2 linked regions of the Nothobranchius furzeri genome follow. The protein of the gene in region 1 interacts with the protein of each later gene in a pairwise test. Links are inferred from orthologs where the notes say so. Each region holds a gene or a part of one and is shown in the gene's direction. Other genes may lie near its edges. The genes, in order: psmg1 and proteasome assembly chaperone 2.

The links.
Region 2: the proteins of psmg1 (region 1) and proteasome assembly chaperone 2 interact in binary tests that used the Homo sapiens proteins (3 or more experiments, as listed by UniProt). The link is inferred for Nothobranchius furzeri from reciprocal best matches to the Homo sapiens genes PSMG1 and PSMG2.

The regions. Positions count from the first base shown.
Region 1 is NC_091750.1:52,547,664-52,551,482, reverse strand, and holds part of psmg1 (proteasome assembly chaperone 1), read left to right. Parts: intron 1-84; coding exon 85-230; intron 231-2,656; coding exon 2,657-2,719; intron 2,720-3,341; coding exon 3,342-3,540; intron 3,541-3,819. UniProt on the Homo sapiens protein: Chaperone protein which promotes assembly of the 20S proteasome as part of a heterodimer with PSMG2.
Region 2 is NC_091742.1:8,407,326-8,411,659, reverse strand, and holds proteasome assembly chaperone 2, read left to right. Parts: upstream 1-1,341; 5' UTR 1,342-1,470; coding exon 1,471-1,527; intron 1,528-2,222; coding exon 2,223-2,394; intron 2,395-2,487; coding exon 2,488-2,546; intron 2,547-2,630; coding exon 2,631-2,749; intron 2,750-2,836; coding exon 2,837-3,016; intron 3,017-3,272; coding exon 3,273-3,396; intron 3,397-3,481; coding exon 3,482-3,559; 3' UTR 3,560-3,844; downstream 3,845-4,334. UniProt on the Homo sapiens protein: Chaperone protein which promotes assembly of the 20S proteasome as part of a heterodimer with PSMG1.

The DNA.
Region 1 (3,819 bases):
CAACACAGTTTGTCGCTTGAAAAATGCCCCACTCTTTTCTCATGCGAGCTGTTTGTTGAATACTGAGAGGATCTGTCCTTGCAGGCTTTCTGTCAGCGTACGTTCTCGCCTCTGCAAAGTGGGACGCAGTTGGACGAGCGCTGGTGTGGAACGAGAGGAGCCGTGCTGCAACCGGGCAGACCAGCGAGGAGTCGGCATGTGTTTTCTACCGACACAAGGACACCCCAGCAGTGAGTGACACACTGAGAAAATCAACACTTCAGAATATATCTGCTGCTGAATAACACCTCAGAAAGCACATGACTGTTGAGAACTTCTGCTCCTCATCCTCCCTTTAATTGGTCTCCTGTGCTGTTAGAGATGTTTCTATTAATGTCATTATTGTCCAGCTGCAGGCTACGTGTTGATGAATACTTGTGACAAAAATGATCCTTTTTACTTCATCAAAGGCCATTACAAGAGAAGAAAATCATGTTGGATTAAGTGTCAGAATTTAGAGTTTCAAGCAGCCAGTTGTGTATGTGTGTGTGTGTGTGCGCGCGCGCGTGTGCGTGCCTTTGTTGTATTTGCCTTACGTCCTTCACGTTTGATTTAATCAAGATGAATGCAGATAATGACTGTGTGCTGCAGCGGAAGCTTCAGATTTATCACACCTGTCCTGCTTCTTTCAGAGGGCTGCAGGGATTTTAACAAACGGAGGGACGACAGAAGCAGATAAGCGTGATTGTTCACAAAATATTTATGAATCACCGGTTTACTGAAAGTCCTTTTATTCCCACTATAAAGGTGGCATATTTTGGTTCAGTTTTCACAGGATTGAGGTCAGTTTATGTGGTTTTTGGGCTGTAAGGAGAGGTCAGTTCACCCTGGTAATGGGAAGAAAAGGATTTGATTTGTGTTTTATTATATTAATATAAGGGTTGCACAGTGGCGCAGTGGCTAGCGCTGTTTCCTTGCAGCAGGGAAGTCCTGGGTTCGTATCCCAGCCTGGGGTCTCTCTGCATGGAGTTTGCATTTACTTCCTGTGCACACATGGGCTCTCTCCAGTGCACTTCCCACAGTCCAAAAACATGACCGATAGGTTGATTGGTCTCTCTAAATTGTCCTTAAGTGTGTGTGTGTGCATGGTTGTGTGTCCTTGTGTTGCCCTGCGAGGGACTGGCAATCTGTCTAGGGTGTGTACCCCGCCTGTTTGCCCAAAGACAGCTGGAGATAGGCACCAGCCCCCCACAACCCTACATGGAAAAGCGGGTTACAAAAATGGATGGATGGATATATTAAAATAAGTGAAACTGTTAAATTATTACCAGTAGTTGGTTTTCAAATAAAAAAGTTATCTGATGCAGATCTGGGGTCTCATTTATCAAACATCGTGTAGAATCCTTACTAAAACCGTTCTTAAGCTCAGCAAAAAAAAAAGTACTTACGCCAAGTAGGTTTGTGATCTATCAAACGTGGAGTACGCACAGCTTCACGCAATCTCCGCTTCATAAATCAGAAACTATCTAGAAAGGTTCTCAGCTGCTTTTTAGTCACATCCCACCCTCACCCCGCCCACTTACTGCCATAAATAGTCAATGCAAAGTGCCTTGTGGATCTCATGCATATACATAAGCCGGCTGTTGCAGTGCTTCGCCAATGACATGGCGACCGTAGATCAAGGCAGATCAAGGAAGCACAATTTCACAGAAGCAGAAATTTCGGTACCTGTGGGTGAGGTGAAGAAATGAAAGGAAGTGCTTTTGCAAAACAAATAAGCGAAAATCCACGGAGTGGCACAGCATTGCTGAAGCCGTCAATGTTGTGAATTCTTCAGAGAGATCTGTGGCGGATATAAAAAAAATGGTCCAATCAGGATTCAATCCCCAGACTCCCTGGTGAAAGTCACACGCACTAGCCAGTCACCCAAACGGAGATCTCCCTTGTCCAAGCAGCCAGGGTGCATGATCAATCGGGTCACAGTGACAGGACACACACACTGTCACAGACGCATGACATTCTGTCTCAATCTGTCCCCCTGCTGATATTCTGCATTCCGTACTCTGTGCTTCAGGCTGTGTGTGTGTGTGTGTGTGTGTGTGCATGTGTGCATGTGCGCGTGTGGGGGTCTTGTTCTGTGTGAAAACAAAGCAGTACAAGGTATAATGCTGCAGGATTTCATAATTTTATCCTTCTCAGCAGCAGCACTGCAGGTGCTCTCCATGTCCAACATGTGCGTAAGCCAGGTCCTTAGTCAACTTAAAGTTGCACACATTTTTCCGCTAAGTTTTCTTTTATAAATCCCAAAGTTTGCGTGGAAGTTGCTTACGCAGTTTTCCGACCCCGTTTTGTGCGTAAGCAAGCTTGATAGATGAGGCCCCTGATCTGAACTTATCAAATCCTCAAACAGATCATTTATTAATTATTTAATCATTCCCTAGGGACTGGTGCTTCATGTGTCTACTTTCTTTTTGTTTGGTAGACCCGTTAAACCTGAATAACCTAAATGAATTCACCCAGCGACAGACTTTTACTAAAAACCTGAATCCATCTTTCTAACTCTCCTGCACCGCGTGCGTGCTGAAAACACCCTCGGCATTAACCGACCTGCAGATAGATGCCTGTGTTTGATTTTATCTGTGAGTTTTGATGTGAAATATTTGTTTTCCCCTTAAAGGTTTTGATATGCCATGTGACTTGCTACGTCGCAGAAGATCAACAGTTTCAGTGGACTGAAAAGGTACTGTCAATCAGCCTGATGAGGCTGCGGATTTTTTTAATCTGTTGTGAAACCTCACAATGGGACACCGCAAGAACTGCACATATGTCGTTAAATAAGAGTGTTGATACCACACCAACTAGGTCATCCTTCATTTAAACAGCAAACAACATGGCCCGAGGTTTTTTTGTTGAGGTTTTGTTGTTTTAGAGCAAACAGGAGGGTGGAGATCTTGCTGATTGGTGCCAGATGAGCTGGCTTGAGAATTAGAAAATACTCTGAATACAATCAACCTTTAAATTGATTTGCTGCTGCAGCAGCAGAGGACTGACAGATTTCACTTCTTTCAGCATAGAGTCTAATTTCTTTTTTTTGTTTGACCTTGGCTTATAATGGGCGCAAGTTCTCAGAACTTGACAACTGCAAATTGGGAAAATGTTGGCAGCTCTCACACATGTCAGAATTAGCCACCAAAACACAGATACACAAGTAAAATCTGGCATCAACAACACGATCTGTGCTGACTTTGGCCAAGAATGCTGTTTTTAGGGGATATTATTTCAGCACATATTGCCTCCATTAATGATGGAAGATGATGTGTAACACAACGCTTTGTTGGTCTCGCTGTCATCGTCTCTTGCAGGTGTTTGACTGCCTGCAGCCCAGGGAGCTGACTGTGACCGTGCTGTCAGATGGCTCGGTGGCTGATTACAAGACGGCAGACTATCTGTGCAGCAGCTCTGCTCCCTTCCTGCGAGCTCTCCACACCAGTGCTTTCAGTGATCAGCCTGTCTGCCAGCCACTGGAGCAGCCAAACATAGTTACAGGACTTCCAGCTGCAGGTGTGCTCGGATTTTCTTTAACATGAGCATGTCAGAAGCATTGCTAAGGCTCACTTTCACTCATCAGTCTCACAAATTAGCACATTTAGCTGAGGATTTAATTCTAGACCTACTGCTACTACTACTTCGTCCCAGGTTGATTGTCCTTTTAGAGTTTTATTAGAGAGATGTTTCTGTGTGAGGCTGGAGATGATAAATCATAAATCACTTGTTGTTTCATGGCACTCAGGGTGGTTCTAGCTACCTTTACTTCTGACATTTAAAATTTTAGTCCAACCT
Region 2 (4,334 bases), on another chromosome or scaffold:
AAAAAGAACAAGATGGTAAGCTTGTAAAATTGGAGGGGGCAGCACAGTCTCCAGACTTAAACCCCATCGAGCTGGTTTGGGATGAACTGGACAGAAGAGTGAAAGCAAAGCAACCTACAAGTGCCACACATTTATGGGGCCTTCTGCAACAGATATGGGAAGAGCTTTCTGAAGAATATTTGATTTCTATTGTAGAAAGAATGCCACGAGTGTGTTCAGCTCTGCCAAAGGTGGCTACTTTGATGAGTCAAAAGTTTAGAACACATTTTCGTCTATAAATTGATTCCAAGATTTCTTTTTTTTTTAAACTCCAATTGCTTATTTGTACTATGCTTTCATTTGAGAGTGCAATGTAACATAACTGCATTATTTCCAATAAAAAACTGGAAAAATTGGGGTGTTCTAAAACTTTTGACCGGTATATATATATACATAAATATATAAATATAAATATATATAAGAGAGAGAGAGGTATAGTGTAGAGTTCAGGGGAAGTTCAGCTGAGCATTACAAGATAAATGCTGAACGTGTTTGTCCCTCCTGATGTACTAAAGTTTACATGGATAAAGTTACTGCCTGCCTGCTTTTTAACTAGAAAAGATAACAGCAAAATAGTTTCTTGAAGATTTATCACGATTCATTTAATTGTAGTTTCACTTGTGTTTGGAGCATCTTAAAACGGTTTATATGGTCTTGTAGCCCAGCCTCTGTTGTCTTGGTAAAGATAAGGTTATAAAGTGTGATGCTAAACTTTTCTGGGGGACGCTCCAGCAAACAGCATTTCTGCAAGAAATGCAATTCATCTAGTAAATTATATAAATGCAATAAAACTATATAGAAAAAATGCAAAACCGTAAAAAATTTACTTCTAGTGTTCTGGTAGTACTTTTCTTGGCTACGTCTCGATTTAAACCGACTAAAAATAAATGTGTTTTGAGCTGAAGAGGGCTTTTTCAATGTGGCTCCAAAGCCCTGCACGTAGTTGCTGCGTCAAGTGGACCCCCGTTGTCAACACACACGCGCACATTTTATTATGCATTTAAAATAAATGCGACATTTAGTAAGGTATATTACTAAAATAAAAATGAATGAATTTTAAACAAGATTGATTTTTTTCATTCCTTCTATGGCAGAGCTTTTGTTCTGCCCGCTGATTTGCCTGATTAAAATGCAAAGCACATATAAAAAGTATAAATATGCCTTAATGTCCATTACATCACATTAAATATAGAGTAATAGGAGTAAGAACGTACAATCAAATTTAACATGTTTATATTTTTACTTAAGCCTTGCTGTTTTTATTTTCGTCAGGCACCATTAAGCATCCTAAAAACTGTTAAGGTCCTCAGTCTAAACAAGGAAGCATGAAACTTTCTGAGAAAGCTGTCCACAAATTCGGATTTTATTCAATTTAGCTGTTTTTCGTTGCGTATTTTTCTTATTTAAATTGATTTCCTACTTAATAGCAGAATGTTTATCTCTTCACAAAACTCACCGGTCGCCTTCAAAGGTTTCACCCTCGTCATGGTGAGTATGCCTGGGCAGTCAATCCTGTCATTTCCTTAGTTTGTCACGTTTTTACTGCTAATCAGTAACTCATATAGTTATTTGGTGTCACAAATGGAATTAATGGGAGTATTTGTAAAATAATGCTAATAAAATTGTTTGCTAATGTTTTTTTTTAGGTAGGAGTTGCATCTGATTTATTGAACTTTGCTTCTTTACAGCTTCTTCTCAGTAATTTTCTTGTAGCTGATTGCTTAAAATAAAATAAAAAAGCCTGATTTTAAAAACGGGAATTAAATAGTAACTATAGGAAATACATCTAAAGTATACAAAATATTAATTCTTTCCTTTGGTTTGTTAAAAGCCACGTCGTCACTTTAAGTACTAGAGCATGCATTTGAGTATTTATTATTAGTGTTAAAGGATTCATTTGTAGTTATTTTGTCCAGACAGATCAAAACGAATGTAGATATCAAGAGCTGTATTTGGTAAAACTGTTGGCCAAATACGCCTGTGACATTATTTTATAACGTTTTGATAAGACTTAAATGAAAACTACAAAAACATTGAGATGAGGCAAAAGTACAAGTCTAAATGTGTACTTTCAGTGTGGTACCTGGCTACCATTTCCGTTCTCAGAGAAGAAAAGCAGCTTATCTTGACTTTTGAGAAGCTGGAGGTAGAAATGCTGATTGAATTTTTTTTTCTCTCCCTAGCCTGCAGTAGCTGTGGGGAACGTGGGTCAGCTGGCTGTCGACCTCATCATTTCCACTCTCAACTTGAGTAGAGTGGGTTACTTACACACAGACTGTCTGATTCCGATGGCCGGGAACAACCCATACAGCACCTGCAAAGAGGACGCTGAGGGGTTGCACTGTCCCGCAGAGGGTAGCGTCTCATTACTGACCTTTAATGGATCTAGAACTCTGTAGAGTGATCACTTCATTTCTTCCAGTTTAAAAATTAACATTTTTTGTTTAGTTTTCACAGCAGCAGAACGGAAGTTGGCAGTTCTTCAAATCAGAGTGCCGATTATTCAGGTACATTTTCTTTTTTTTTTTTTTCCAACAAGTTTTTATAACATTGACTGAATTCATATCCTATAAACTTTGTTTTCACTGCAGAAAAAGTCTAAGAAGTTCCGTCAGATGCTCGTTTCCTGGATCAAATCCAGTGGCTTCTCAAGGACTGTGGTCCTCTCCAGCAGCCACGCCTACCAGAGAGATGACCAGCAGCTGCATGGGTAAACATCAACACCATCCATCTTTTTGTCCACTTCTGCTCTTTAAAGTCGTTTCTAAGTGCCGATGAGTAAAATGTGCCTGTTTAGGACTCCCTTGAGGTATCTGGCAACCCCGTCCCTACTGAAGGTGAGCGTGGACACACTGAAGGAGCTTGGCTGGAGAGAGATGGAGCGAGTGCCGGCATTTCCTGGAGTGAAGGACGCTGATGCAGAGCCAAGACTGTGCATCCCAGGAGGAGGCATCACCAAAGGGCTTTACTCCGACAGGTAGATAGGGAAATAACTAAAGAAAACCTGAGGAGACGTTTAAAAAATTTGCTCCTCTAAAGATGAGGAAGACAGCGGGGTTTGACATTTTTTGTGATGTTGGGAGAATTTAGGCACTTAGGACACACCAAACCAAAGCTTTTTCATGGTTTTGTGTTTTCTTTTCACATTTGCACAATTCTTACTCAGAATTACAAAATGTAGCATTTTCCTTTCTTTTCTCTCCTCCTGATCACATGTCCGGTCGTGTGTTCAGCTGTTTAGCTGAGGACCTCCCACTCGCTGTGCTGCTGCTCTTCTGTTCAGAAGGTGACAACATCCCAGACGCCTTTGCTTTGGTCAACCACCTCAACGACTGGCTCCATCTGCTGGACACTCTGGTAATCTACAGATTTCACAAAGAGCCTTTTTATGTAGACTCAATCAGATTTGAAATTCCCAACAATCATCTGATCCTCCTTCCAGGGCTGCGAGTGCAAGTGGAAGATCCCGACTTCCTGGAGTCTCCTGTTTGGATCAGGCATTCCTCCTGCTCTGTTCTGATTTGCTTTTCTTTCTTTGATCCTAAATATATTGACTCAGATTTGCAAAAATATTTTGTTCTACTTGTAAGATGTTCCACGTTCCTGAATAATTCTCTTTCTTCTGCTTATTTGGATGTGCCAACATGACAGGAATAGACTCTTATACTGCACTTTGCTCTATGACTTGGCTGTCTAGAATTATTTTTTCTTTAATTGAGAGTGGTGGGAATAGGCTTACACACACACACACACACACACACACACACACACACACACACACACACACACACACACACACACATAATTTAAGTACTGATTAGTATATGTGGGTAATTTTAAAATTGAACCTACGTTTGCAAAAGGCTGGAGCTGGTAAACCATTTTCCTTTTGTCTACTTTCAGTTAAAGACAGATGAAATGAAATAAAGGGGTTAAATCAAAGAAAACCAGTTTTCCATCCTGTAATAAAAAAGCACATGGCCAGAGATGAAATGCCAGCCGAGCAGTGAGGGCACCGTGTTCTTGAAAGTGCGAGACATTAGCTAATCTGCTGGGGGAATCGTAACAAGTGTAGCTTTCCTGGAAGTCATGTTTTTAAGTATGAGGGGGTGGCTGCAGCAGCTCTTTTTATGCCATTGTCGGTAAAAACTGAATTATGGGTGTCTCTACCTCCTCGACACCAGAGTAGTAGTGGGGAACTTAAACTGTGTCATTTAGAAAAAAAGAACTTCACTACTTTTATGCCTCCTTGTGATTGAAGAGAATTGACTGTGTGCAGATACTTACCGTGATAT